2 linked regions of the Elephas maximus indicus genome follow. The protein of the gene in region 2 binds, or shares a complex with, the protein of the main gene of each other region. Links are inferred from orthologs where the notes say so. Each region holds a gene or a part of one and is shown on either strand. Other genes may lie near its edges. The genes, in order: E2F4 and LIN54.

What was found.
Region 1: LIN54 (region 2) and E2F4 share a complex: the UniProt entries of both Homo sapiens proteins name them as parts of the DREAM complex. The link is inferred for Elephas maximus indicus from reciprocal best matches to the Homo sapiens genes LIN54 and E2F4.

The regions. Positions count from the first base shown.
Region 1 is NC_064839.1:33,594,048-33,609,031, reverse strand, and holds E2F4 (transcription factor E2F4), read right to left. Parts: upstream 7,696-14,984; 5' UTR 7,529-7,695; intron 6,607-7,528; 5' UTR 6,364-6,606; coding exon 6,229-6,363; intron 5,749-6,228; coding exon 5,639-5,748; intron 5,496-5,638; coding exon 5,334-5,495; intron 5,024-5,333; coding exon 4,980-5,023; intron 4,239-4,979; coding exon 4,177-4,238; intron 3,958-4,176; coding exon 3,660-3,957; intron 3,158-3,659; coding exon 3,041-3,157; intron 2,825-3,040; coding exon 2,583-2,824; 3' UTR 1,274-2,582; downstream 1-1,273. Other genes in the region: ELMO3 (engulfment and cell motility protein 3), read right to left, coding at 1-43; EXOC3L1 (exocyst complex component 3-like protein), read left to right, coding at 8,348-8,393, 8,599-8,774, 8,853-9,072, 9,618-10,230, 10,308-10,425, 10,584-10,709, 10,808-10,908, 11,213-11,323 and 5 more. UniProt on the Homo sapiens protein: Transcription activator that binds DNA cooperatively with DP proteins through the E2 recognition site, 5'-TTTC[CG]CGC-3' found in the promoter region of a number of genes whose products are involved in cell cycle regulation or in DNA replication.
Region 2 is NC_064823.1:73,307,266-73,322,539, reverse strand, and holds the start of LIN54 (protein lin-54 homolog), read right to left. Parts: upstream 5,527-15,274; 5' UTR 5,443-5,526; intron 3,424-5,442; exon of another isoform or gene 3,104-3,423; intron 1-3,103. UniProt on the Homo sapiens protein: Component of the DREAM complex, a multiprotein complex that can both act as a transcription activator or repressor depending on the context. In G0 phase, the complex binds to more than 800 promoters and is required for repression of E2F target genes.

The sequences.
Region 1 (14,984 bases), on a different chromosome or scaffold from region 2:
GGAGACCCGGAAAAAAAACCCGATCAGAGATAGCCTTAGGCATGGTCTTTATTCACTTGGACACTGTACAAATATTACAATTTCCTTTTGCTGCAAAAAGTATAAAAATAATCTTTATATAAGAATCCATTCCTTACTGTAAATCTTTCTAAATCTCTGCAAGTGGCTCTAACTGAGGAGAAATGAACAAACGAAGGGGCTATCCTCAAGGACCGACCCACCAAATTACTATCTAGAGATCTCTGTTCCTTCTGGTGAGCCCCTACCAGCACCTACAGGTTCTCGGGGCTAGGGCCAAGCAGAAGGGGGGCATACAAGAGGTCAGGAGGAGCCGTAGGGTCACGGGTGGGCGGCAGCGAAGGCTAGGGGTGGTGCTGGTAAGCCCCCAGCTCCACCCTACCCTTCCCTCCTTGGGAGCAAGGGGCTGTCAGGAGCAGGGCAATGGGACTGAACAAGCTGCCCTATTGGGTTGAGGGTGGGTCTGAGGTTCTGTGTCACCAGGCTCCAGGGAAGGAGAGGTGAACATTTTGGCTCCAGGATGGAGGGGCTGAGCGCGTTCCCCTGCTCTCCTAGCACAGTACAGGTGCAAGTGCAGGAGGCAGGGGTGGGAGTCGTGGCCTGAACTGTGCGGTGCGGGAAGGCTGGGGAAGCCAGGAGCCTGTGGCTGTGTAGGTGTAGGGTGGGGGAAGGTCCCCCAGGTCAGGTAGTCTGTGTCCAGCCACACAGGGCAAGTCCCTGTCAGTCAGAGGTTGAGAACAGGCACATCAAAGAGGTCACAGACACCTTCACTCTCGTCCAGGTTGTAGATGTAATCATGGTCTCCAGGGGGCGGAGAAAGACGGAGGAGGGGGGCAAACACTGCAGAGAGCACTAAGCTGAGGCCTGGAGCCAAGGCCCCACCCAGCTGCCACCCACCCCCTGGCCACACCTACTCCCCAGCATCCTGGACCACCCACCTTCTGAGGACATCAGTTCCTCCAGCAGCTCTGAGCTCATGCACTCTGAGAAGGAGGAGTGTTCAGTTACTTCTGGATCCAGAAAAGGGGACCCTCCCACACCCACCAGAAGCTTTCCCCTCTGCCCCAGGTACCAAGCACAGCCATAAGGTCTTCAGAAGGACAAGAAAACAGCACAGCAGTGGGACCCAAAAAGCTGTGCTGCTCAGCCCCAGGGAGGAACACAGCCCTACCTGGTGTAGGATCAAAGATCTCTGACAGCTCTTTGGGGAGTTCCAGAACTGAAAGGCAAGAAGGCCATGCTCAAGACTATGCTGAAGGGCACAGAGGCTCAGCCCCTGCCTTCCTTAGATCCTACACCATCCACCCTGGTGCTCCACACAACTGAGGAGATAAGCTGGCATTGTCTGTTGCTCTCCCCTGCTAGACTCAAATTCCTCAGTGCTGAGCCCAGAGAACCAAAGGCCCACCACAGGTGCTTGGCACAGCCATCCTCACTCATTGATACTACAGAAGGGAGCAGACCTGCCCACCACCTTCTGGGCTCCTGTGCACACCCTGCCTGAGGATACTTCGTCCACCCCCATCCATGCCGAGCACCTGTGCTGTGCCAGGCTGAGCCCACACCTCAGGTCGAGCCACCTGCTACAGATCACCACTCCACCAGAAAGGTCTGATGGGGAGGAGGCATATAGAAAGCAGAGGAAGAAGGAGCAGCAGCATGCTGGGGTTGGACCACAAGGGAATTCACGCCCCAGGCTTAGGAGCTGACTTTATTCAGTGGGTCTCAGGGAGCCACTAGAGGTACTTTTGTAAACACGGGACTGTCACGGTCAGGCTTGCATTTCAGAAAGATTCTTGTGTCAGTTGTGGTAAACAGGTGGATGCTTCATATTATCTAGGTTGGAGGTGCCCGAGACCAATCCTGGGGGTTGAGGATGCAGGAAGGATGATAAGCAATGTCTGGGAAAGAACTCACTTAGCTGAGGTGGGGTTGGGAGCAGAGGGTGAAGGAAGGAGATGGAATTAGAGTGACACTCAGGTGTCAAGCCTGGGTGCCCAGGGCTAACAGTAGGGTGTTCACAGAGGCAGGAAAGCAGGTTTTGAGAAGAATGTAAGTTCAGTTGAGGGTATGTGGGAATCAAGTACTAGGGGAGACAGGCATCCAGAAGGCAAGTGCAAGTGCACAGAGACCTGGAGTTCAGGCAAAAGAGCCAGACTAGAGAGAAGTGAAGGGGTCACCCACCCAGAGCTGCAGCCCTCCCAGGGGTCGAATGGGACAGGAACCAGGGAAGTGCCAATGTTTAAGGGATTTTCAGGGAGAGACTGAGAAGAAGAAGCCAGTGAGGAAGAAGAGCCAAAAGCCAGTATCATTAAAGCCACAGAAAAAAGAAAATCAACACCACCAAGCAAGAAGGTACCCCCGAGCTGCCTGCTACATTTGGCAGTCAGGTCTTTAGCAACTTACCATGAGTGATGCTGATATAGCACTAGGGGTTGGGGGACCCTAACCCAACCTGAAAGACGACTAGGTGACAATGACATGGACCGGAGCTTACTTTTTCAAGGCATGCAGGCTGAGAAGACACACGAAAGTGTGAAGGGGGAACATAAGGGAGGATCAGGTCATTTAGTTACGAGAGAGACAGCAATGCTATGGGCTGAGGAGAATAAGTCCTGGACATAGGAGAGAGAGGACACCAGACAGATAACATCATTTCTCCTGGGAAGGCTACTGACCACCTTTGGTGCCTCAGGGCCATACCACAGCCACAGCCCCCCTTCCCCAGGGGAAGGCTTGCACTTTCCTGAGGCCGGAGTCCAAGGGGTGGCAGGCAGAGCTTGAGAAGGGGCCAGGGAGCCCTGTGCTAAACCAGGAGGGGGGACAAAACAGGTACCACCACTCACTCTAACTAGCAGAGGGCTCTAGTATCAAAGGCTGAGGTTGATGGGAGGGAGTTGGGGCTCCTGAGCTGGTAATCTCTGGCTGAGATACCAGGGCTGGATTCCAGCCCCAGTCCTGTCACTGACCCAGGCGTGGGCTGAGGCGGGGCTCTCCCTGGCCAAGGTGGGCAGGTACTCACCACCTGTGGAGTCCGCTTTGATAGGCTCAAAGGAGGTAGAAGGGTTGGATCCAGATGAACTGCTATTGCTGCTACTGTCCAGCAGGGCAGAAGACTGCAGTGGCCGGGTGTCCAGTGCTGTCGGGCCCAGAGGGAGTGAGCTGAGCTCACCACTGTCCTTGCTATCAGTTCCAGGGCCACCTCTCACTGCAACCACATCCCCCTACCCAGTCACATGGTGGGCAGAAAGCTGTGCTAGAGCCATGGCCATTCCAGGCCCAAGGAGAATTAGGCACTGCCAGTCCCCCAGAAGTGGTAACCTGGAAATGAGTTACTGGAGACAGGTGTGAGGCCTGCACAAGGGAGACTCATGGACAACATGGCTGCTATGGCCACACTTCAAGTGGGGCGGCCAGGGCAGTGAAGCACAGGTGCACCTGGGGGAAACTGCCACCACGAATGCCCCTTCAAGCAGTTTCCCTGTTAAAAAGGGCTTGTTCACTGTCACAGCAAGGGGAGGCAGGGTGGGAGCCAGGAAAAGGCTCTCATCCAGCTCTGCGTATGGCATTCCACAACACAGAGGTACTGCCTCTAGCGTCCCAGAAGGTAACCCCATCACCAGCTGCTCCTCATGCCTCACCTGTGCTCTCAGCTACTGGGCCGGCCACCCCCTGGGCCTCGACGCTGCTGGGGACAGGGGCAGGCATGGCCAGCTGGGGACTGCTTGGGCGTGAGGCTTCCTGAGGCTGGGCCAGGGTAGGCTTGGGCAGAGGCGGAGGAGTAGAGACAGCAGGTGGGCCCTGGAGCAGATCTTCCGGTGGTGGTACAGGCACGGCCACAGGTGGTGAGCTCCATGCCTCCTTGTTCACCAGCAGCACCTCAATGGGCCCACTCACACTCTTCAGGTGAATCTGGTACTTCTTCTGCCCATTGAGGCCCTGGAAGTGGAGGTGAGGGAGAAGTAGAGTTGGGAACAGGCTTGTTTCCTGCCTGACCTTGGGCCAGGGCACAGTATCCTCTCCCACCCCAGGCTGCCCGTCCTCCTAGATAACCCCAAACCCCAGGCCTCCCCCCGAACTGCCCCACCCGGGACTTATCAGGCCCCGCAGTCAGCACCCGCCCTCCACCAACCCCGCCTGTCTGGGCTAAGCACCCACCTCTGGGATGGGCACCTCCAGGCTGGTGCCTGACGGGGCCCGGATGGCCAGGAGGGTATCTCCTAGAATGACAAGGGTGCTAGTCAATGCCATGGGCTCGGCCTGAGCTGGAATGGGGGTGCTGCCCCTTGGAACAAGGCAGGAGATCATGGTCTCTGAGGGGCTAGATAGGAGTCCTCCCTCATCCCCCACAGTAGCTGGGGCAGAGAGCTAAAGGTTTACTCTCCCCGAGAGCCCAGGGGTCAGTAATCAGGAAATCTGTGTTCAAATTCATGGAGCAAAAGATCACTGCTCATGGGCACCTCGCTGCTCAACTGATGGGGCTGCTCCCAAGGTATAGGGTTTCTGGTCAAGGACAATGTCTCTTCCTCAGAACCAGCCTGGGGGGTGCAAGATGGAGAAGGAATAGCTCCTGTATCCACAACGCAACTAAACTACAGGTTGGAAGTAGATGCCACTGTTACCTACACATAAGCACACCTATGCACACATGCTCTTTCTTTCTCCTTTATCTCTCTTTCTCCCTCCCTCCACAGTGCCTGAGAAGCCAAGCCCAAGGGACAGTATAGACGGGGGCAGACCCAGGGACCCAGCCCCAGATCCTATGCCTGCTCAGTATAGCTGGCCTCCACAGGGTCCCAGTGAACCCTCGAAACCAGGACTTACCCACATTTGGTTCCTTTTTGGGCAGGCCCCAGGAGCCCTCCTAAGAGATGCAGCTCTCCTTGGACACTGAGCCCAATGTTCAGGGCTGTGGCTCAGCTCAGTCCCACCCCCAATCCCTCTACCCAGGCTCTGCTCACCAGCAAAGCATCTGCAGATGTCCTCGTGAGTCACGTAGGCCAAGGTGTGGGGGTTAAGGAGAACGGCCAGTGCCCTGCCTATGGTGACAGATGGCAGACCACAGAGAGGACCCAGCTCTTTAGCAGAAGTCTGACACACGAGCCCTCAGAGAAAGTCCTGGAGCCTGGGTTCCACGTGGGGAGGAATAAAAGGCGAACACTGGAAGCAGAGGAGCTCTGAGAAGGGAGCCCGAGGCTGGGGCTGCAGGGCCATCCTCCCAAGAAGGACAAAGCCCAGGGCACCAAAGAGCAAACCCTGCTGGACCAGGTGGCCCCTCACCCACTCCCCCAGAGCAGGGACCGCCAGGAGGATATTAGCTGTTCTGCACGTCCTCTGTGACATTCCGGATGCTCTGCTGCACCCACACCTTGTGCTGGTCCAGTTCTTGTTCCCGCTGCTGCAGCTCCTCGATCTCTGCCTTGAGCTCAATCAGCTTATCCGCAATCTCCCGGGTATTGCAGCCAGGACCCACGCCCCTGAGTCCACAGAGTCGGGCTGAGAGGCTGCCAGGCACTCTAAGTCCCATGGCACCTGCTCTCTCCTGCACCTCTCCCTCGCCCCACATCCCTGGCACTTCTGGCTAGAAAACCCCACTACTCTCTCAGATGCCCCCACTCACTTCCACTGGATGCTGTTCTTGGATTTTTTCTCGATCAGCCCGATACCCTCCAGTACATTAGTAATATCGTAAATCCGCCGCTTCTGGCGCACAGCTAGGGTGTCAGCTGCCTGACAGACAGAACAGAACAGAGGATGCTCAGCCCCACTCCCAAGTGCACCCGAGCCATCTACCCACGTACACACAAACTCCCACGGTGTCTGTCGGGACAGCGGGCGTCAAGCTACCCTGCGACGTGGTCTGGGAAGGGGGCTGCCTTTGTCCAAACCCTCCACTCAAGCACTACAGCAACCCAGGACCGTGGGGCAGGAAGAGGCCTGGTAAAGCCCTGAAATAATGTTTAGATGCGCTTCTCCGCCAAGTCAGGAGGGCCACGAGGGCCAGCACCTGCAGCCCCGCGCCTGACAAATAGCTGGCGCCCAATGCCGTCTACCAAATGAATGAAACGGCTTCCGGTCTTCTTCCTTTGCGAAGGCACACGGATGGCGGCTTGCTCTCTGAGAGGTCAGCCGGGCCGCCCCGGGGGTTCCCGCTCAGGACCCAGGCCTGTTCCACCAACCCCTCCGTCACCCCCTTAGCCCGGGCCGCACCAGCTTGAGGTCAAGCACGCCGTCCTTGGCCTCCTGCAGAAGAGACACGAACTTGGTGGTGAGAAGTCCCAGGCTCTTCTCGTGCCGGCTTGGGGTTCCTGGGGGCGGCGGCGCCTGTGGCCCGGCCTCCGCCATCGCGCCAGCCCGCCGCCTCCCCTCAGCCAGGCCAGGCCGGCGCCGCCGCCACTTCCGCTTCCGTTCCTGGGCGCCCGGCCGCCGGCGCCAGTGTCGCTGCTTCCGCTTCCGCCCTGCGCCCTTCCAGGGAACCCGGCGCAATTCCTCTCTGCGGGCACCGCCGCAAAACTCGAGGGACCATTAGCAAATGTCCAACCGCCGAGGAGGACGAAAACCCTCCGGGGATCCAAAGTGCAAGACATTCTGGGGAGGGATGTGGAAGAGGTCAGGGGCGGCCCCGGCAGTACAGAAGAGGGAGCCACCGGAAACTTCCTTGTCAACCTGCTCCAACACCACTAACTCCGCCACAGCCCCCATCTCCAGAGAGGAGACAACACTGCCTGATGACCCCAACGGGTTCTCCTAGACTTGCTCCTAGAGGCTACCCCACTGTCTTGAGGTCACGCACCCGTATTACTGTCCCTCACTTCCTGCCAAAGAGGAAGCACTAACTACATCTAGCCCTTCTACTTCAATCCATGCTCCCAGCCTCATGTCTCTCTTACTTCCACACAGTAGAGCTCAAAGGGCCAGTCGCTGCCACAGCATTGTAACCACTTTTCAGCCAATGCAAACATGTTTACCTATGCAAAGCGTGCAAAGCAGTTCCTGGCATGCAGGAAAGGATTCTGTGTTTGCTAGTATCCTTTTATTATTTTCAACATTGTTAATTTTTATTGTTTATTTTAGGTCAAGGTTTCTGGGAAACAGACTTTGAGAAGGGGATTTGCCTGTAAGAAGCTTATTGGAGATCCACACTTGTAAGGGATTTAAGACAAGCAGAATTGGGCAGGGAAGGAGTTAAACTGTGGCACAGTTATAATAGAGGGCTCAGCCCATCCTACTAGAAGCTCTGAAGCTGGGAGGTCATTCAAAGGCATTCCAGAGTCAGGCAAGGGGCCCAGGCCTTTGTACCCCAACATTAACTGAGAGACTCAGCTGTGAGACCTGAGCAGACTTCACTCCTGGCAGCTGCGGGAAGGGGTAAATGGGTGGTGCACCACAGCACCCATGACATTACTACTCCCCTGAAGTCCCCTCCATGGCTCCCTATAGCACTGAAGACTCCAGCTCTTCAACACAGCTTTCGTGGCCTTTCCGTGACCCCCCTCTCACCTTCACTCACCAATCACCCTCTTCACAACAGCCTGTGGCCTCTCACTCTTCTGCAGAGGTACACACCTTCCTCTGAGGGACTCACCAACACACTTCATACTGTGTGGTAGTCCGTGCACACCCAGCCCCAGTCCGGTTTGGGACTGTGTCCAGGGCACTAAGAGGTACCGCCACGGACTGGTTAGGACTCCATGTACACCCCCCACCCCCAGCCCTCTGGGAAGTGGTGCTCAACCCTCCCCACCCCACCTCGCATTCAGATGTTCTTTCCTGTTGGGAATAAAGTGCCAGAGACTCAGCTTCCTTCCGTTCTGCCTGTGGCCTTGGGGAGGAGGGGCCTCACGGGAGGAGGGGGGCTCCTGGGCTGCAAGTGGGGAGAGAGGCTTCCTTGAGGAGAGGAAGTCTGTTGTGTACCCAGGAGTGGACTGGGAGTGAAGGGAGTGACCAGCTCTGCCACAGGGCTGGGGGAGAGGGCCATCCTCAAGGCCAAGGCTGTCTGTGGAGGAGGGAGAACTGGGCGCCTGGTCAAGCCTGGTGGGTTGCACACCAAACTGACCTCTAAAACTCAGAGTAGGAGCAGGGCCCAGTGGAGACCTGTGCCTACCCTACAGGGGACACAACTGAGAAACCCAGTGGGTGAAGGCCTCCCAGGTACCTCCCCCACCACACCCACCTTCCTTTCATTTCCTGAGGGACTGGACACAAACTTCCCTCCTTCTTGGAGGGGCCTGAACAGCGGCTGCAGCTCCAAGGAGCGTCCATTCTATCTGCTGTAACCTAGCTCCTCGCCTCCACTCCCAGCTCAGCTCTGGCTCCTCCAGGGCCTGCCATGGACCCAGCAGCCAAGGACAACAAGGAGTCTGCACATCCCCCTGGTAGGAGCCCCTCTGGGTGGGCTGAGGAGGGATGACGGCAAGGAGGACAGGAATGATGGGGTTGGTCCTGTAAGGCAAGCCTGGTTGGAGCTCAATAGGGCAGTGAAAAGAGTGGACTGGGGGACAGGGAAAGGGGAGCAGTTTCGGCGGCGGCTTCCTGCAGGCCCTGCTGGACTGACTGATGATTAACGCTGCTGCCACCCAGGCTCTTCCTGCCCTGGGCCTGAGTGGCCAGAGCAGGAAAGGGCGGAACGCCTGGCCCGGGGTGCCGCACTGAAGTGGGCCTCAGGCATCTTCTACCGGCCAGAGCAGCTGGCCAGGCTGGGCCAGTACCGGAGCCGTGAGGTGCAGCGCACCTCCTCCCTGGAAGCACGCATCAAGGTGGGCATCAGGCAGGGGCTGGAGTGTTGGGGGTGGGCTGCGGCCAGCCAGGCCTCACTGGATGCCTCCCTTCTACAGTCGGTGGTGCAATCGTACCTGAAGGGTGTGCAGACTGGTGTGTGGCAGCTGGCCCAGGCCCTTGAGGCTGTGCAGGGAGCCCGGGAGAGCCTAGGCGAGGCCCATAGGTTGTTCAGGAGCATGGCTGAGGCTGCGCTGACCCTAGAGCCCCTGCAGGAGCGGGTTGCCCAACACAAGCAACTGCAGGCCCTGTCTCAGCTCTTGCCTCGGCTTCGAGCAGGTGAGTGTACAGGGGCCCCAGGCTTCAGCCTGCCAGCAGTCAGTCAACAAACATCCACTGATCAAGGGGCTGGGTCACCAGGTGGGGATTGCATGAAGGGACACACCTGGGACCTCCCAGAGAGTAGCTGAGGCTTCAAATGACATATGAAGCTGGATACAAAGGTACCTCATCCTGGGGTTTCCCAGCATGGGATGTCTGAAACAGGACTAACTCCCGGTCAAGTGACTCTGGCCACCCTGATTGTTAATATATTGAAATATTTCCCTAATAGCCTGGGTGAATAGCCACTAGCATAGCTCCCCAGTTCTTCCTGACTTGTTTCCGGGATCCCTGACTTCCTCATGTTCCATCAGCTCAAGGGTTGACACTTGGCCCACTGGGCCTCTAGGACCTTGCCTGTGTTCTGTCAGATTGGGCAATGCTCTACTGTACTGGTTATTAAGTATCTTACACATCCCTGCAGGCCCAGGGCCTCAGTATCCACCACTGGACCCATTCACAGGTAGGAAAGCTGACACCCAAGGTTGTCTCCTCTTCCTTAGTACCAGCTGCAGTGGCCCACACGCAGACCCTGATTGATGCCCAGCGGCTCCTGGAGGCATATGTGAGCCTGTGGGAGTTGGAACAGCTTCGAGAGAACACAAGGGTAGCCCTGGGGGGCCTGGAATTACCAGCCTTTGAGGGGCTGGGCCCTCTGACTGAGGCACTGGGCTGGGCTGTGGAGGTGGCAGCAGGGACTGCAGGGCAGCTGGCACGGGAGGACCCAGCCTTGCTGGTGGCTGCTGTGCGTGTGGCCGAGGTGGAAGCTGGGCGCACAGGCCCCCTTGGGCAACACCCCCAGGACTGGCGGCAGCGCTTTCTGCGGGCACTACAGGAGGGTCTGGAGCGGGTCTACTTTGGGACATCTCTGCTGCCTGGGCCAGGGGCCCTAGCAGAATGGCTGGAAACTCTGCGTGTGGCACTGCCAGCCGAGTTGGCTACAGCTGAGGCACTGGTAGCGCCCTGCTGTCCGCCGAACTACAAGGTGGTCCAACTCTGGGCCCATACCCTACACAGCGGCCTGCGCCGCAGCCTGCAGCAACTCCTCACAGGTCCTGAACTGAGAGCTGCTGATGCCTTCACCCTGCTGCACTGGGCACAGCATGTGTACCTGGGGTCAGTGACCTGGGAACAGTGGGAAGTGGGTGGATTGGAGGCTGGGGCTCCATGTGACACCTGCCACCTATCTCCAGGCCAGAAATGATGGGAAGCCTTGAGTTGGGGCCTGACGCTGATGTGTCCCAGCTGGAGCCCTTGCTGACCCTGGAGAATGTCGAGCAGCTAGAGGCAACATTTGTAGCCAAAGTCCAGGTGAATGGTCCAGGCACAGGTGCAGAGCAGCTCTGCCCACCAGCTACAGGCTTTTATGTGCAGAGTCACACAGAGATCTCTCATTTGTCACATGCCTGCCTGTCTCTGGCAGGGTCAGTGCCCCACTACATCCTGCTGCCCCTCACTCTTTCCCCCAGGCAAGTGTGGCCCAGTGGCTGCAGAAGGCACTGGATGGGGAGGTAGCTGAGTGGGGCTTGGAAAAGGAGCCAGACACAGACCCATCTGGCTTTTACCACTCACCGATGCCGGCCATTGTGCTGCAGGTGAGTGGGAAGTGGCCAGGCAGGTGGGCAGCCCCCATGGGGAAAGGGGAGGGGCAGGGCTAGGGGCTCTGCTGATGGCTGCCCATCCCTGCCTCTAGATCCTGGATGAGAACATCCGTGTGACCAGCGTGGTCAGCAAGTCACTGCAGCAGCGGGTGCATGGCATGGCAGTGTCAGAACTGGGTGCATTCTTGAGGAGGTCCGCCAAGACGCTGACCCACTCCCAACCCCTGGTCCTGCTCCCAGGGCATCCAAAGGGGCTTTAAGTGAATAAGGCACACCAGTGAGAACGGGATCCTTCAAACTGGGCCTTGGTGTTTTGGAGGTGGGGCAAGATGACCAGAGGCTGAGGCTGTGAGAGGAGTCACCGTGTGGCTTGAAAACCCTATGTAGCAGTTCTATTCTTCACACATTGAGTCGGCATTGACTCTATGACAATTACTAACAACAATAGGGTTGTGGGAGCACCAGAGTGACAATGGCACCACCTCTGCCCACTGCAGCTTCAGCGATGCTCTGATCCGATTCTCCCGAGACCACCTCAGGGGCGAAGCAATAGCTCCTCATTATGTGTCCTACCTACTGGCCACACTCAACCACCACACAGCACTCAGGTATGGGGCTTACATGGACCGCACTTCACTAACCCTGACTGAGCACCTATTTGTATGTAACTAGTCCATACCAGTCCATACCAGGCCATTAGGGACTTTGGACTCACATAGTTCCAGGTTCCAATCCTAGTTCTGTATATTACTGTCTGTATGATCTTAGACATGTTACCTAATCTCTCTGAATCTCATTTTTCTCATTACTATTATCTGGGTATAATGGGATGTTCTGAGAATCACGTGAGATAACATGTAAAGTACCTACCACAGTGCCTGGCAATAAATATTATAAATATTATCAAGGCCCTACTCTGTGCCAGATAATGTTTGGGGTTACAGCTGTGAGAAACAGGGAATTCCCTTCCTCTTGGATCTTATGTTCTGGGGGAGGGGTGAGGGGACAGGGGAGGACAGATAAAAAAGCTGATGATTTTTACTCACTCCTGCCTGGGACTAACTCGCTCACCTTAAAAAAAACAAAAACCAAACCCAGTGCCGTCGAGTCGATTCTGACTCATAGCGACCCTATAGGACAGAGTAGAACTGCCCCATAGAGTTTCCAAGGAGCGTCTGGCGGATTCGAACTGCCTACCCTACGCCACCAGGGTTTCCTCCCTCACCTTACGGATGAGCAAATAGGAGCCTAAAGACATGCTTTGCTTAAGGTCACACAGCGAATTAACGACAGGTCCGACTGGGGCTGTGTCGGTTCTAGCTCTCTGACCCAACTCCCAGTCTCAGACCTTCCGAAATGCAAGGAGCAGCCCTTCTCATCCCCAGCTGCCACACACACGCACCACTAGGTGGCGTTAGGGTAGTTGGACCACGAAGAGCCGTGAGGGCCTTGGCCTTGGTCCTGAAGACAAATTTTTGGTTCGTCTAGGCCGTCTGTTCGAATCCACCAGGCGCTCTTTGAAACCCTATGGAGCAGATATACTCTGTCCTACAGGGTCGCTATCAGTCGGAATCGACTCGACGGCAACGGTTTTTTGTTTTTTTTTTTTTTGGTTCTAGGTCGTCCGTGTCTGTCCTTCACCTCGATGGGATGGCTTCTGTGGCCTTGGCTCGGGTGGAAGCTGCGCTGGACGAGCTGCAGAGGAGGATCTGCCGCCTGGTGCTGGAGGCCCTGCTAGCGGAGCTCCAGGTGAGGCTTCAGGTGGGGGTTGGAGGTGGAGTGACAATGTACGTGTGGAGGCCTCTGCTGGGAATGCAGGGTCTGGATCATTCCCCCAGCGCCGTCTTTGTCCTCCCCCAGCCCCTGTTCTCAAGTCTGCCCTCGCGCTGGTGGCTGTCGAGCCCAGAGCTGCTGGATGGTGTGTGCGAGCGGACTGCGAACTTCTGCCGGGACTTCCGGCGCGTGCGGAGCCCGGCAGTCCAGGTGCGTTGGGAGGGAGGGCATGGGGAGAAGCCGATGGGAAAAGCAACCTGGACCTGCCTGATCGCCCTCGCCGCAGCTGCTGCTGGCTGAGGCGGAGCGCACCGTGGTGCTGCAGTACCTGCGCGCACTGATGCAGGGCCGCTTAGTGTGCCGTGGTGCAGACGAGCGGACCCAGGCCGCCGAGCGCCTGCGGCATGATGCCACCCAGCTCCGGGAGCTCTTTCTTGGTTTGGTAAGAGCTCAGCGGAGAGACAGACGGGCGGGGTCTCAGTGGTGAGGTGTAGGCCGAGGGCCGCCACGAAATCCTACCCCACGTGAGCAGGGCCTGGAGGAGAGCGTGCAGTGCGCGCCAGTGCTGCTCGCCCTGCGGGAGCTGCTGAACCTGCACGACCCCACGCTGCTTGGCCTCGAGGTGGCCGGCTTGCGGCAACAATTTCCCGACGTGAGGTGCGGAGACTCCAGGCGGGGAGGGAGGAGGAGCCCGGGAGGGGCGGGCAGGGCGGAGCTGACTCGCCCCTCTGGTGCTCTGCAGCGAGGACCACGTCTCAGCCCTCCTGGACCTGCGCGGGGACGTGTCCCGAGAGCAGCGGCTGGCCGCACTCAGCTCCTTACAGGCCGTCCCGCCGCCCTCGCCTCCTGCTGGTCACCGCGCACTCTTCAGCCTAGTGCCGGCGCCTACACCCGCACCGTCCTACTGCCTTCCCTCGGGATCCTGCGCCTGATGCTCGGCTGCCTGCAGAATAAAGCCAACGGCTTCCGGGCCTCTGGCTCTGTGTGTCTGGGGGAAGGAGGGGTGAAATAAAAGTGTCCGCAAAGGTTAGGGGTTATGCACAGTATGGTATGGTACCTTGGTTCCCACCCTGCTACACAGACTGCGATCCCATGTATCCAGACTCGGCGTGGTATGCAAGTACCGTCCTCGCCCGCGTATCCGCGCCCCCCAAAAAAACCTAAGCCCGCTCCCATCGAGTCGATTCCAACTCATAGCGGCCCTACAGGACAGGGTAGAACTGCCCCATAAAGTTTCCGAGGAGCGCCCGGCGAATTCCTACTGCTGACCTCTTGGTTGGCAGCCGTAGCACTATGCCACCAGGGTTTCCCGTAATCGCGCAGGGGAGTGAACTAGTGTCTGGACGCCCGTGTTTTGGCTGTCGGATTGCCCCCGAAGCCCTGAGACCCTCCTGGCCCACGTAGAGGGGCCGGGCCTAAGACGAGTCCCCGCCCAAGAGTGTGACCCGAGAAGGACACCACCCCCTCTGCCCTGCCTGGCCCCGCCCCCGGCTGTGGTCTCCGGCGCGCGCCGCCGCGGAGACTGACGCGAACCCGCGCGCCATCCTGTGAGCGTGCGCGCGCCCGGGTGGTGCGTCAGAGGTGTTGGCTCCCTCGGGCTGGGCTGCAGGCGACGGGCGCTACGGAACGGGAACGGCGGCGACGAGTAAAGGGGCGAACAGGTTGGGACGCGGCGCGCGAATGGGACCCCCGGGAGGCAGAGAAGGCGAGCGACGCGACTCCGCTATCTACTAAGGAACCCCCTCCATTGTCCTCCAGCCCCGCCCTCCATTGGCACACCCTTCACCCCATCCCCCGCCGCTTATTGGCCGCTGGGCACGCCCCTCCTCCATCTCTCCGTTTCCATTGGCCCTTCTTCCACATTACCCTCTCGGGTCTCTTACTAGTGCAGGCCACACCCTCTCATTTGTCACCAGACCCCGCCTTCAATAATCTAGGGCTCCTCCCCCATCCTTTCGTTCATTTATCTGCGCCTAGTGCTGGGTGCTGGAGACCTGGGGCCAGATGAGACCCGTTACTGCCCTCGGGGAGTTGGAATGGTGGGGGGACACAGACCCAGGCTCCGACAGTGACAGCCTAGGGCGGTAGAGAAGCCGCCTAGGCACTGGGGAAACTATGTGCTGGGAAGACTTCCCGAAAGAGGTGAGGCCTGAACCAAGCCCTGAAGGATGCTCCAGGGCGGCACTGGGAGGGCATTCCTGGCGGAAGGACCTGAGACATGAAAGAAACACAGGCATATTCTGGTGATTGCGAGGAGGTAGGTTGAATGAAAGAAGGGGAGATGGAGAGGACTGGCTCAGGTAAAAGCCCAGAGACCAGTGAGGAGCCTGGGAAAGTGTCCAGTTAGTTGAGGAGAGTGAATCCTGAGGCCTGAAGCTTTTTCGAGCGGCTGGGCACTTCTCGAGGAGGAAGACTGAATCTAGATGGGGAAACAAAGTGCAGGGAAGGAATGATTCCAGATCTGAGAAGAGCTCTTTGGTTCACTCAGCTGCTCTG
Region 2 (15,274 bases):
TTTTCTGTTCTAGCTATGGTGCTGGACCACCCAAATTTTTAAAATTTGGACCTTTTCCAGTTTTGCTTTATTGGCCATGACTATACTGGTTCAAACCTGTTGGAAGCTCTGATTGTAATTCAAGTGTAAGTTCCTTTCCTCTTTATCTAAATTAGCTTTTCCTCTGATTTCTCTCTTTTTTTTCTTTAACAGCACTCAATATTTCATCAAACACCAAGGTTTATGATCTTGTCATCTTTGATGTCTCTCTCTCCATAGAAATAATTAATCTGTCATATATTGTGCAAATTACCCTTTCATAACTGTCTCCTCCCCAAGGCAACCAAGAGCTGCCAAGTCTGCAAAGCTTGAAGCCTTGCTGTGGCATGCCCTGAGTCAATTCTGACTCAAAGTGACCCTATTGGACAGAGCAGACTGCCCCATAAGGTTTCCTAGGCTGAAATTTTTATGGAAGCTGATCACCAGGTCTTTTCTCCCAGGATGTGGGTGGTGGGTTCAAATCGCCAACCTTCTGGTTAACCACCAAGCGCTTAACCATTGCACCATCAATGTAGAAGGCCTTGAGAGTTAACAGAAAATTTCTGATTGACAGCCTCAGAGACTAGAGTATTTTTACCTCCATCTACTCTCACCTACAATTCATCCTACACAACAGCTACAGAATATATCTCCCTAGAGTGCATCTCTGAGGCTGTCACTCTCCTCAAAAATTTTCTATAACTCTCAAGGCCTTCTGCATTAGGCCCTATCCAACCATCCAAATTTACCTCCAGTGATTCCTAAACTGGAAGCTCTCTTGATGCAGTAATATTCAGGTTATTTTATCCCTGAGGCTTAGTATAGTATGTGAGACATAACAGACACCCAAAAGAAGTACCTGAAGGAAGTAATGAAAATCTGTAACATTTTTCCAAAAAGAAAAAAAAGATCCCAGACTATCTCCAGTGGCATGAATCTTCCTTCATTTTTTCCTAGCACAGCTTCAGTTATTAATAAGTAGACAATTGTTCTAACCACAATAATTCTGAGAACTGGCTTTAAAGACAATCACAAAAAATCACAAAAATAACCCTGTGATTAAAAGAAAACCAATAAAAAGGGATTTTAATCTTTTATTTTAGTTATTTTTAAAATTCTTAATCTTGCTACTAATTTAACAGTTGGGTTGTTATGGCCCAAATAATTGTACCATAAATGCTGTAAAATAAAAACAAATTCCTAATGGATAATCCAAGAGCATCAGACAAATGATTTTTAAAACTTCATTAACTAGATCTAAAGTATCTCTCAGGTACTTCCCCTAATTTTTTTTTTCTGTCCTTTATTCTTTTAGTGGTGAGAAGCCAAATGTGCAAGCTATACACACAAAAAACAATTATACTCTGAATACAAAATATATGATATTGTATGACATAGCTATGGCATCATCTCTTCGTAGGCAATTTGAGGATAAGGAAAATTATTCACTGCTAATTATAAACATTACCAGTAGGCATGTCTTGAATATTTACCTCTCTGTTCACTTTTCATATACTCAGAGTCACTAACTCAACCTTCTCCCACAAGAGCTGGGGGGAAAAAAACAGGGCCCCAAGTTAATGTATAAAAATTTGATTCACATGTTACTTTTCAAGGACACTACTGTTGTGTGTTGAGGATTACAGTATGCCTGACCCAAGCTGTGGTATTTTCAATCACCTCATATGCACAATGAATAAGGAAGACTGAAGAAGAATTCACTCATGTGAATTATGGTATTGGAGAAGAATACTGAATATACTATGGACTGCTAAAAAAACTAACAAATCCGTCTTAGAAGTACAGACATAATGCTGCTTAGAAGCAAGGATGGCGAGACTTTGTCTTACGTACTTTGGACATGCTATCTGGAGGGACCAATACTTGGAGAAGGACATCATGCTTGGTAGAGGGTCAGTGAAAAAGAGGAAGACCCTCAACAAGATGGACTGACACAGTGGCTGCAACAGTGGGCTCAAACAACAACGATTGTGAGAATGCTGCAGGACTAGGCAATGTTTCGTTTTGTTGTACACAGGGTCGCTGTGAGTCAGAACCAACTCCACAGCACCGAATGACAACTGTTGTGTGCAAGAAGACAGACTCATTAGAGATCTCGCACAATAATCTAATACATACATGTGTCTTTAGATAACCTACAATATGAAGCTATGAGTCAGAACTGACTCGACAGCAATGAGTTTGGCTTTTATTTTTTTGGTCATAAAGTCAGTCAATGCAATTCTCAACTCTCTACACAAAGGACTAACAAGTCCAGTATTTAGAATAGAACTGAGGTCTCAATTTATCTATGTACTGACTTAATGTACTCACATCAAATGCTTGCATCAAGCCAAAGGAGATGGTACCTCAACAATAATCGCAATTCCCCTTCTTAACAATGAAGGTAAAAATAAGGGACTAATAGAATTCCCAGAGCTGTATTTCACTTGGATTATAAAATGTACTGTAAAAACTTTTATTCTCTGACTTCATGAAATGGATGGGGCTAGGAAAGAATTTCTCTGAAAAACACGGGTATGAAATATGACTGACAGTATCTCAATTGTTACTTGCCAAATAGCAGGGGCAAAGCGGGTCACTCTATGGGAGAAAGAGCCATTAAAAAAATAAAAAAGACAACATTTTTAATTGTTAGAAAACTGGTCTGGTCCATATGCTTAAATGTGACCGTCCATACCCCAACAAGTTATAGACTATGACCTAACACACAGATCTAAAATGCAGAATAAAATGCCAATGCTCAGCCTCCTTAAAGAAACGTACAACTCCATAAACTGCTAAACATCATCTGGTGTTGACCAACCAGAGTGGATAGGTTAACTATTAAATCAAGAAATCAAGATATTTGCTAGCGGTTCCTTTAGGCCTCGGCAGCAGCCTTAGGTATAAGAGCAAATTTGAGCCTTCTTAACACCCAAAGAATACTGTTGATGTCATTATGAGGCTACTGATTCTTTGCACTACAGACAAGTCATTAGTTGATCCACAACACAAATGTCCCCTCCCCCCCCAAGAAGAGATTTCAAGGCAGAGAGGCCCTCGGGTACCCCTTCTTCTCTACCTCCAGCGGCTGCCGCTTTCTCCTCCCTCCGGCTCCAAGGTGGGGGCTCCAGAAGGTCCCGGGCAATTCCGAGCCCGGGCGGTGCTTGTTTTGCCTCTGCCAGATAGCTCGGGCCAGCCGCTTCCTTTCTCAGTTTGCCCAAACTGGAGCGCTACAGGGTACCCAGAGACCGGTAAGGGAGCCGTGTGGCGACGCCGCCGCAGCCGCCGCCTCTGGTATGTCAGGGGCCGGGATTGTATTTCGAAAGATCCGCCATTTTCACCTCGTCATCACCATCACAGCTCAGCAGCTTCCCCGACAGCCCCAGCCCGGGCCGCCGCCGCCGCCGCCAGTCACCTCCCCCTTCCTCCTCCTCCCCTCCCAGGTCCTCCCCTCCCGAAAAGCACACACCCACATATCCGGGGAAACCTCCCGCCGGCCCCGCCAACCTTCAAATGCACACGGGAGACACAAATGTACACACAGCCTACGCAAAGACCTTTCACCCCAGAACGAAAAATGGTGCTCCTGCCAGCCCCGCAGAGCTGCGAAAGGAAGCCCCGCCATCTGCGGGGTCCCAAGTCAGGCATATTTTTATTTGAAGAGCAAACGCAATGCGGAGGGTGGCATAAAGACAGTAAGGGATCTAAACTCTTTCATTTTCGGAAAAACAACTGGAGACAGATGATGGAATGCGTTTCACTATGTCCGTATCAGACACTGAAGACATTATCGAGACCTTTAACGTCACTCACCTACTCTTGACATTTTACTCCACCGTCAGAACTACCTTGACAGAATGAGTTATTTCCATATGCCTGTTTGACCTCTCTGATACCTGCTTTTTAAATTACAGGTACTGATCCTCATGTAACTACTGTGGTCAAAACAGTTTTTTTTTTTTTTTAAATAAAGATTTCAACACACAGTCTGACAAACAGACTCCAAACTACTTTCCTCTTCACTTAATTTTATCTGATAATTTCTGTCCAGGAACATCGTGACTTTCGATTTGTCATTAGTTTAAGACGTCAAAGTGCAACTAAGCTTAAAATGTATTGATTCAATTATGGAAATAAATGCATGAATGATCAATTTCTAAAAATATAGAAAATATAGCTCTAAACTAAAATTCTTTGTCAAACTTTTTTAGGATCCAAGTCACCAAATTAAAAAACCATCTGCCGCTGACATATTTGTTCAATACAGTGAAAATAAACAGCTTGCTTTGGAACAAGACCCCAGAGTTACCACCCACCCCCACTAGCGCCTCCCATCATGCAGTTTCATAAGTAACTAAAACAGAACATAGACAGGTATTTTTTTAATCATCTTAGAAGTAACAAGAAAGCATAGGCTACAGGGCTTCTAATGAAACGAGCATAAAAAAAGAAAACTAAACTGACCACCTTCGTCAATTTCAGGAAAAATTTGGTAATCATCCATTCAAAGGCTGAAATTCATACCATTCAACTACAACCTAAGATCTAGAAGACCTATCTGAAACGAGTAAATTGAAATTTAGGGTTGAAAATTAGGCCACTCTACTACCTTTTTTAAAAGTTCGTTTAAGAAAAGTGAGGTAGATGTTGAATAAATCATTTCATTTCCCTACCTTGCTTGCATGGCAACTCCGTATAAAAGTCGGTAGATTCCAGCTTCAACAAGTGCTGTCCACCAACCCAGCCCAATCGCCGTTTTTAATACGCAGCCTGCTAGACGCTGAGAGTGTAAAGTCTCCCTAGTTTCTTTATCTTTAAACTTTATGGCCCCACCGGCTGTCCGGGCCACCCGCACTCCGCTTGGTTGTTTACCGTTGCCTGGCCAAGCTGAGTCCCAGTCTGCTCCCTTCCCCCATGCACCTCGGGAACATTATGACATTTGGCTGGTGGGCTTCGCGAGGAAAACGGACACACAGGAAGAAGGTGGCATACAAAGGAGCATAGGAAGAATGGGGTGGCGGGCAGCAGAGAAAGGAGGGGCCGGTACAAAATGACACAGCAGCAAAACTGGTTCCCAGAAACCCGGGGCCGACACGGCCGGCTTCTCTAGCCGCGCTGTGTCAACAGCCACCGGAGCCCTTCCTCCAGGCTGCCGGGAACGGTAGCCGGCCGGTTGAGTGCCGGCCCTGCCGGGTGACAGCCGCCCTCCTGGGCGCCGGCGGAAAGGGGCTGAGACCCGAGGACCCTTCCGCAGGGATGGGGCGCCGCGGCCCACAGCCGGCAAGTTCCCGCTCCCCGCCCGGGCTCTCAGAGGGGGCGGTCCGGCGCCCTTCGCCCCCGCCGTTTCCCGCAGCCGGGGCCGGCGCTCCCTTCCCGCCCTCCGGCTCAAAAGCCCCCATCTCGGGGGCTGACGCTCACCAAAGCCGGCGGCGCCGCCGCCTCCTCCTCGCGCCGCGCTCCCTGGGCTCCCAGTAGCCGCGGCGGCGGCGGCGCCTCCGAGACACAGACCCGGGTTTGTTCAAAATCACGCGCCCAGCGCCATTCCACCGCCGCATCCCATAATACGCTGGGCCCTCCCCGCCCGCGCGCCCCTCTTCGCCCGCCCCTCCACTTCGTCCGCCCCGCCTTCCCGGTCGGCTTCCTTCGCCCCGCCCCTTCCGCGAAGCCTGGCCCCGCCCCTTGGCAACCCAAGGTCGCGTCATTCCGCAAGGCGCCGTGAGTACGCTCCAACTCCACGTGACTCCAAGTGGTTTCTCTGTCAAATCTTTCGCATGGAATGTTCCATCAGGCTGCGGTTGGGAGGGGAAGGTCAGGGTTTGTGCCAGCTGTTGGAAGAGACTCCCTCTTTTTCTAGCTTTCCTTGTAAGGAAGTCCGTGATGTAGGTGCGATTTCCAGCATCTTGCCACTTTTTGATGTGCTTGGGGGAGAATGGGGAGGATCAATATTTACAAATGCCAAATCTCGTCGTTTTTTCAGTACTAATTTTTCAGAGATCGATAAAAAGCCGCAGAGACACTACACAGACTTAAAGTTATTTCGAAAGGAACTTTTTGCTTTTTTGCAGTATATGGCTAAGATTAACACGATCAAAATTCTTCGTATTCATTCACCTTTCCCTTTTATTTTTCTCGGTACCCCTTATTATAAAAGAAAAAATACCCAAATTTGGAGTCTGATAATCAAACAGGGACTGAGCGATTATTCAGTTAATAACTGCTCGGTGTGAGACAAGAAGCACACAGATGAAACAGTAGAAAACACGAGAGTGTAATGAAATGTTAAATGTTGTGGTACAGTCTATATAACTACTCCTGGGGCATGTAGTACGCACAGGGCAAAGTGACAGGCAGTAGACAGGGAACACAATGGAGGAGGTGAGACACGTAGTGGAAGCAGCAATCACTTTGGCATCAAGCAATCTTGGTTTAAATTCTGGCGCCTCAACTTTTTAGTGTATCATGTTCATCAAGTTTCTTTTCCCAGCCATAAAATATAAATAACAAAACTTCCCAGGATTCTGAGGGTATTCTGAGGTATGTCAAACAGCTACACAGTCCTGTGTCAGATGTTAATTCCTTTTCTACCACAGTCACCACCACCCTATACCACCCATCCCAAACTCAATTTTTAGGATTTAGCAAGACCAGTGGCATGAACTTAGCAAAGGCCTGGAAGTGGGAAGATCTGTGGCAAGTGCAAGAAATGTAAGAAAGTTGAATGATACACAGGCGTGGTTGGGAATCAACAGTAAGGTAAGCTCAGTTTATGAGGAACCTTCAAAGCTAGTGAGAAAAGCTTCATGATCACAGACATTATTAAACATTTTTCAGGGTGTCCTTGCTAAATGCAATTAAATAAGAAAAATAAGAGGTATAAATACTGAAAAAAAAAAGAGATAAATGATCCACATTAAAAGTAATCACAAAGAGCTCAGTGTTATTTTAAGTTCATGGCCTTGGGTGCTAGACCAATTGGGCCCTGTCTTAGTTACCTAGTGCTGCTATAACAGAAATACCACAAGTGGATGGCTTTAACAAAGAGAAATTTACTCTCTCACAGTCTAGGCTAGAAGTCCTAATTGAGGGTGCCAGCTCCAGGGAAGGGCTTTCTTTCTCTGTTGGTTCTGGGGGAAGGTCCCTGTCATCAGTCTTCCCCTGGCCTAGGAGCTTCTCAGAGCAGGGACCCTGGGTCCAAAAGATACACCCCGCTCCTACTGCTTCTTTCTTAGTGGTATGAGATCCCTCTCTCTGCTTGCTTCTCTTTCCTTTTATCTCTTGTAAGATAAAAGGTGATACAGGCCACACCCCAGGGAAGGTCTCCTTAGGTCATATCAGGAATGTGACCTGAGTAAGGGTGTCCTATCCTACCCTAATCCTCTTTAACACATGCTAATCTTTCCTCATTAACCACAAGAAGAAACTGGGATTTACAACACATAGCAAAATCACATCAGGTCACAAAATGGTGGACAACCACACAATACTGGAAATCATGGCCTAACCAAGTTGATACACATTTTGGGGAAGACTGAATTCAATCTGTAACAGGGCCAAATCCTGTCCCTGTCACTTAATAGCTCTGTGAAGTTAGGCAAGTTACTTTCCTCTTGTTTAAGTTTTTTCCTCTCTAAATTGGGAATAATACATATATCATTAGGTTGTTGTGAAGATTTATGAGGTAATATGTGTAAAAAACTTAGAATAGTGCCTGGCATATAGTAAGCATTCACTGACTGAAAGCTATTAATCAAAACTACAATACAGTCTAAAATATAATCTTCTACTTTATCAAAGAAAGCATTTTAGCTCCTAAGAGTCACTGCTATTCAAACATCTATATTGCAAAAGAAAAAAAAAAAAAAGAAGAAGTACAAAATGGCATCACATACTTTAGGAGAGAGTGGTTAATACAGCAAGGGAATGTAGAGTGTAATATGGTTGCAATTTTGGAGTCAGGGATTTTTTTTTTTTTCCATATTTTTGATCTTGCAACAAAGTGGTTACTCAATCTCCCCAATTAATAAAACTAAACATTTTGCTTAGACAAAAAAAAAAATCTGTATTTCAAAAGAGACACTTAGCTGTATATTTACATGGATGGCTTTTTCAAATTGTCTAAGAACATTTATTTAGCAAACATTTCTTGATTGTTGAATCCCAGGCAGTGTGCTAGAGACTAGGAACACAGTAAACGAGACAGTACAGCTCTGTCCAGTGGAACTTTCTGTAATGGTGGAAATGTTCTACATCTACACTATCTGATACAGCCACCACTGGATACATGTAGCTATCAAGCACTTGAAATGTGGCTAATGCAACTGAGGAACTACGTTATTAATTATTTTTACGTAAACTAATTTTAAGTTAAATAACCATGTGTACCTAATGACTACCATATTGGACAACACAGTTCTAGAGGAAGTGGCAAACTATAAACAAGTTGAAAAAAAAACTGAAATATTTAAATAAATAAATACAAGCGGTTTCTGAAGATAATATCGATACAAAAAGAATAATAAAAAGATTGTAGTATGGAGATGTGAAGTGGTGAAAACTATCAAAAAATAAAAGTAAAATTTATTTTTAAGTCCTATAATAAAACAGGTAGACAAAAAAAAAAAAACACCAAACCCAGCGGCATCGAGTCGATTCTGACTCATAGCGACCCTATAGGGCAGAGTAGAACTGTCCCATAGAGTTTCCAAGGAGCGCCTGGCAGACTTGAACTGCCAACCCTTTGGTTAGCAGCGTACGCCACCAGGGTTTCCACCAGGTAGACTGCCAGGTACAAAGTATGCCAATACCAGTTGCAGTTGAGTTGATTTTGACTCATGGTGATCCCACGTGTGTCAGCATAGAATTGTACTCCCTAGGGCTTTCAATGGCTGACTTTTCAGAAAGAGATCGCCAGGTCTTTCTCCTGGGACAACTCTAGCTGGACTCAAACCTCTAACCTTTTGGTTAGCAACTGAGTCCACTAACTGTTTGCACCACCCAGGGACTCCACCAAGTACACTAGTGAATAAAACTTTCTTAAAAACAGGCTAGTTTCCAAAAGAGTATTCACAAAGTTCATATGTTTATTAGTCCATGTTGTTAGAAGTCCAGTATGTCTTTATGCAAGCAAACAACTTGTGTACATCTATAAAAGAGTAATTTTCATCTTTATTTCTTTTTCATCATTATTTATCTCTTTTTACAACAGACCTATAATCTCTTATCAAAAATTTTAAAATCCAAAATGTTTTGAAAACTGAAAGGGTTTTGGAAGCTATGGCAAACTCATTGGGCAGGAAAACCTGGGCCAATATTACATAAGGCTATTCATATACTTTATACTTGGTGTAAATATTCTTATGCATCAGTGCAGAAGTATGAAGGTGTTTGACTATAGAATATTTCACTAGAAACCACTAGGAGTGGTCTTAAAAATGGTATAGCCAAAAGGTGTTCGTGGGAACTTTCTGGAGTGATAGGAATTTTTTTTTTAACTTTGATTTTGGTAGTAGATACATGAGGGTAGACATTGGTCTAAATTCACTGGGTCCATTTAAAATGGATGCATTTTATTGTAAGTAAATTATACCCCATGAGCATTGTTTTAAAAGAGAAAAACACTGGAGTCTGAAAAATGGTTGGTGCATATTCTTTTCTAAAGTCCAAAATATCCTGAATTCCAAAATACATCTGGTCTTAAGAATTTCAAATAAGGAATATGGGATTGTGGCACTTTCAACACACCCAAATTTTTGCACTTATGGTACATGATGTGGTTAATGATATCAAATGACTGAAACAACAAAATCAATCACTTAAGTTATCTGTTGGTTGCAGACAGAGTTTATTTACTTTTCCTCTGGTAAATAGATTTCTTTGCATCTCTGATAGTTGGTTTTTTTTTTTTTGCTTATTTGTTTAATTAAAAGGGTGGAAATAAAAGATCCTCTGTAATGTTCTGATATACTTGTTCTGCTAGGGATATAATCATCCCTGTGGTTAGGAGACGGGGTTTCCTCTCGAAGGAAGTATAGTACCAGTGTCAGTCATTTTGAGAAGAGGCACATCTTGGGATAGGGCATGAAATCTTGAAAGAGGGTCTCAATATTGGGGAATGAGGAAAGTACTTCCTCTCTTTGGGCCTTGTTCATTTGGACCTGGTCACAAAGATTTTAATGTGTTTGAAGGAGTGTGCCCACTTTTTGCCCAATAAGAGAAAGAAGACATCTCCCCCTCAAGCTATTAGAAACTGGGTAGAGTTTTTATGGAAAAACATCTTAAAATTCTCCTTAGTGTACAACCACAAGCATTTTTTTATATTTATTTTTTAATTTTACTTTAGAAGAAGTTTTACAGAGCAAACTAGTTTCCTGTTAAACAATCAATACACATATTGTTTTGTGACGTTGGTTGTTGACTCCATGACAGGTCAACACTGTTCCTTCTCAACCTTGGGTTCCCCATTACCAGCTTTCCTGTCCCCTCCTGCCTTCTTGTCCTTGCCCCTGGGCTGGTGTGCCCATTGAGTCTCATTTTGTACTTCTTTTTATCAGCAGGTTAAATCTGTGCCCCAGCAGATTTCTCATTATAATACATTGCCAGACCTGGGCCATATATCTCTCCGTAAACCACTCACTAGCAAAAGGGAATGGAATTACACAAATGGCATAGAGCAGAGATCGAAAATGAGACTCACAGGTTAAATCCAGCCCATGGTCTGTTTTTGTAAGCCCGTAAGCTGAGTTGTTTTTTTTTTTTTTTTTTAATGTGTTTATAGGATTGCTAAAAGATTGTTAAAAGAAGAGTAAGAAGAAAAGTATATATCAAAGACCATATGTGGCCCACAAAGTTTAAGATATTTATTATTTGACTCATTACAGAACAAGTGACAGACCCCTGGCCTGGACCTATCATGACTCATCTTGGGGAATGAGGAAAGGTCCTACCTTCCCTGAGTACACTACCAATGTTGAGTCTGCTGCATCATGTATTTGTAATTTCCTTCCTTCTTTTTTTTCCCAACCATTAAGTAAAATCTTAGCAACCATTGCTATCTGGTCCCATTATTTACCACTGCTGAGGTAAACTAAGGGGAGGATGAATATTCACATGTGTGTCAAAATGTTAAGGGAGAGCAGTCCCATTAATTTCCGTTTTATGGGGTCAACAGTGTTTAATGAATAATCCCCAAGGGGAAGGCAAGCCTCAAGGGAAAAGCATCAAGATGTAAGAACCAGACATCTTCTCTTCCACTGCCAACATGCCAAGCTACTGAGTTCTGAATGGCATAATTTGTGGCTAGACGTCTCTTTTAATTCTTGTCTTTTTTCTTCTTTACATAAAGTGTCTTTTTTCTCTGCCTACCTTTGAGATTTTATCTTTGGTTTTCAGCAGTTGAATATTATCTTTCTAGGTGTCTATTTCATCTTTTTTTCCCCCAATTTTTATTGTTTTATAAAATAACAAGAGAAAGGGCCATGCAGATGAAAATAATTGGACAAACAGTGCTGTACAGGCCAGAAAGGTGATGGTGCCAAAGCAGCTGATGTTTGGCAGGTGTTTCATATTTTTAGGAGCTCTCTAAGTTTCCCTGGACGTATGATTTGACATCTTTCAAAATTTTGGAAAATTCTCAGTAATTATCATCCGCTCCACCGCTCCTCTGTCAGTTTGTCATAGTGTGGTGGCTTGTGTGTTGCTGGAAGCTATGCCACTGGTATTTCAAATACAAGCAGGGTCACCCCTGGTGGGCAGGTTTCAGCAAAGCTTCCAGGCTAAGACATACTGGGAAGAAGGAGCTGGTGATCTACTTCTGAAAAAATTGGCCAGTAAAAGCCTTATAAACAGTAGCAGAACATTGTCTGATATAGTGCTGGAAGATGAGCCCCTTAGGTTTTGGAAGGCACTCAAAAACAATTGAGGAAGAGCTGCCTCCTCAAAGTAGAGTTGACCTTAGTGATGTATTTTAATTCAATCCATGACAATTGATATCCTAGAAAATTTGTGATCTGAAATGGACTGGTATTGGCCATTTTAAATCAGACATATGGTTTTCTATGCCAGGAATGACAAATTGAAGATCCCATTATGGAACTGATCACATATAAACACTGAGAATCATGGTCCAGCCAAGTTGACAAACAATCTTAACCATTGAAGCCACCTTCCCCAGTGAAATCATTAGCCCCTTCATCACCATACGCTGTGTCTGAAGAGCCTTTGTCTGAGCTACCCCCTGGGGAGGTGTCTGATTCATCGCCTGGGGCATCGCCTGAGGCAGGTGCCTTACAAGACATTGCTGAATGTTCTCAGAACACACCCCCACCACCCATTTTTACTTCTAGCTATAATTAGACTTAAGTCCCAGTGAGCCCCAAAAGATGAAGTACAAAGTGTGACTCAGGAGGAGGTACACTGTACTTCAAAAGAGCTGCTTGAGTTTTCTAACATGTATGATCAGAAACCTGGGGAATATGTGTGGGAATGACTATTAAGAGTGTGAGATAATGGTGCAAGGAACATAAAGTTGGATCAGTCTGAGTTCATTGATATAAGCCCACTAAGCACAGATTCTTCATTTAATGTTTCAGTTTGAGAGGATGGGAAAGGATTTAATAGTTTATTTGGTTGGTTCGCTGAAGCAAAAAATATGTGGTAACCCACACTAAATCAAGTTGAAGTACTAGACCTGCCTTGGTATACTATAGAAGAAGGAATACAAAGGCTTAGGGAAATTGGCATGTTACAGTGGATTTATCAGGTTAGACCCACAGACCCACACATGGAGTTCTCAGAGGACACACCTTGTGCCAGAACAGTGAGGAACAAATTTGTGAAGGGAGCCACAGCGTCCTTAAAGACAGCTGTGATTGCTATTTTATGTAAACCAAATTCGACAGTGGAAATTGCCCTAATTGAATTAAGACATCTAACTACAAAGGGGCTGATTGGACCTCATGGTGGTAGGGGCCAAGAGGCAGCACTCAATTAATAAAGGCAAAGTGGGCACAGTTACCATAATGCACAGTGGAATCAAAGCAGTAATCAGAGTAGTCTGACTTGTATGGCCTTATGCTGTTAACTACTTAGTCATGGTGTCATTAGGAGTGAAATAAATCATAAATCTACTAAATACTTGATTTGTACAAGCAGAAGACTTCTAGGTCAAGTGAATGGCAGTGTAACTTGAATTGCCAGAACAGAAGGTCATGGCCCTTCATTCAGTTTCCAGACTTGAGCCAGTTTACAGACCCACAACTCCTTGAATGAGGGAGGGGGAGGCCGGATCCCTTTGAGGATGGACGCCACTACACTACCAAAAACTTACACCATTAATCTTTCTCCCAACCTTCTCCAAAGGTATCTACAGCCTTTTCTGAGAGTGACAGTTCATTGGAGAAAAGGAAATAATCAGACTTCTTGGGGATTACTAGATAGTGGCTCTGAACTGATGCTCATTCCAGGAAACACAAAACATCACTGTGGTCTACCAGTCATAGTAGGGGTATATGAAGGTCAGGGTATTAATGGAGTGTTAGTTCAGATTTGCCTAAAGGGTCCAGTGGGTCTCTGAACTCATCTCGTAGTGATTTCCCCAGTTCCAGAACACATAACTGGAATAGATATACTCAGCAACTGGTAGAACATCCACATTCTATCCCTGACGAATGGAGTAAGGACTTTCATGGTAGGAAAAACCAAGTGGAAGAACTGCCCCTACCTAGGAAAATAGTAAACCAAAATCAATACTGCATTCCAGGAGGGATTGCAGAGATTATTGCCGCCACCAAGAACTTGAAGGATGCAGGGGTTGTGATTCCCACCACATCCCCATTCAACTCGCCTATTTGGCCTGTACAAAAAAACACATGGATCTTGGAGAATGACAGTGGAATATCAAAAACTTAACCAGGTGGTGACTCCAATTGCATCAGCTGTCCCAGATGTGGTTTCATTGCTTGAGCAAATTAAGACATCTCCTAGTACCTGGTATGCAGCTATTGATCTGGCTAATGCCTTTTTCTCCATACTTGTTTTGAAGGACCATCAGAAGCAGTTTGCTGTCAACTGGCAAGGCCAGCAATATACCTTCAGTTGCCTACCTCAGGGCTACATCAACTCTCCAGCCCTATGTCATAATTTAGTTTGCAGAGACCTTGATCGCCTTTCCCTTCCACAAGACATCACACTGGTCCATTACATTGATGACATTATGTGGACTGGACCTAGTAAGGAAGAAGTGTCCCTGACTCTGAACTTATTGATAAAACATTTTCATGCTAGTGATTGGGAACTTAATCCCACAAAAACTCAGGTGTCTTCTGCCTCAGTGAAATTTCTTGGGGTTCAGTGGTGTGGAGCATGTTCAGATATTCCTTCTAAAGTGAGGGGTAAGTTATTGTATCTTGTTGCTCCCACAATTAAAAAGGGGGCACCATGCCTAGTGGGCCTCTGGATTTTTAAGGCAGCATATCCCTAATTTAGGTGTGCACTGTGGCCTATTTATCAAGTGACTCGAAAATATGCTAGTTTTGAATTGTAGCCAGACCAAGAGAAGGCTCTGCAACAGGTTCAGGCTGCTGTGCAAGCCACTCTGCCACTTGGGCCATATGATCCAGCTGACCCAATGGTGCTTGAAGTGTCAGTGGAAGGTATAGATGCTGTCTGGAGTCTTTGGCTGGTCCCTATTGGTGAATCAGAATGCAGACCTTTAGGATTTTGCAGCAAAGCCCTGCCATCTTCTGCAGATAACTATTCTCCTTTCGTGAAACAGTTTTTGGCTTGTTACTGGGTCTTAGAAGAGACTGAATGCTTAATAATGTGCCACCAAGTCATGATGCAGCCTGAACTGCCCATTAGGAACTATCTGTTGTCTGACCCATAGAGTCATAAAGTTGGATTGCACAACAGCACTCCATCATTAAATGGAAGTGGTATATACAAGATTAAGCTTGAGCAGGACTTGAAAGATAAAGTAAGTTGCACGAAGAAGTAGCTCAAATGCCTATGGTGCCCTCTCCCAAGTATGCACCTTTGGCCTCATGGAGCGTTCCTTAAGGTCACTTGACTGAGGAAGAGAAAACTCATGCATGGTTTACAGATGGCTCTGTGCAATATGCCAGCACCACTTGAAACTGGACAGCAGCAGCACTACAACACCTTTCTGGGACCTCCTTGAACAACAGTAATGGATGGAAATCCGCCCAATGGGCAGAACTTAGAGCAGTGCACCTGATTGTCCACTTTGCTTGGA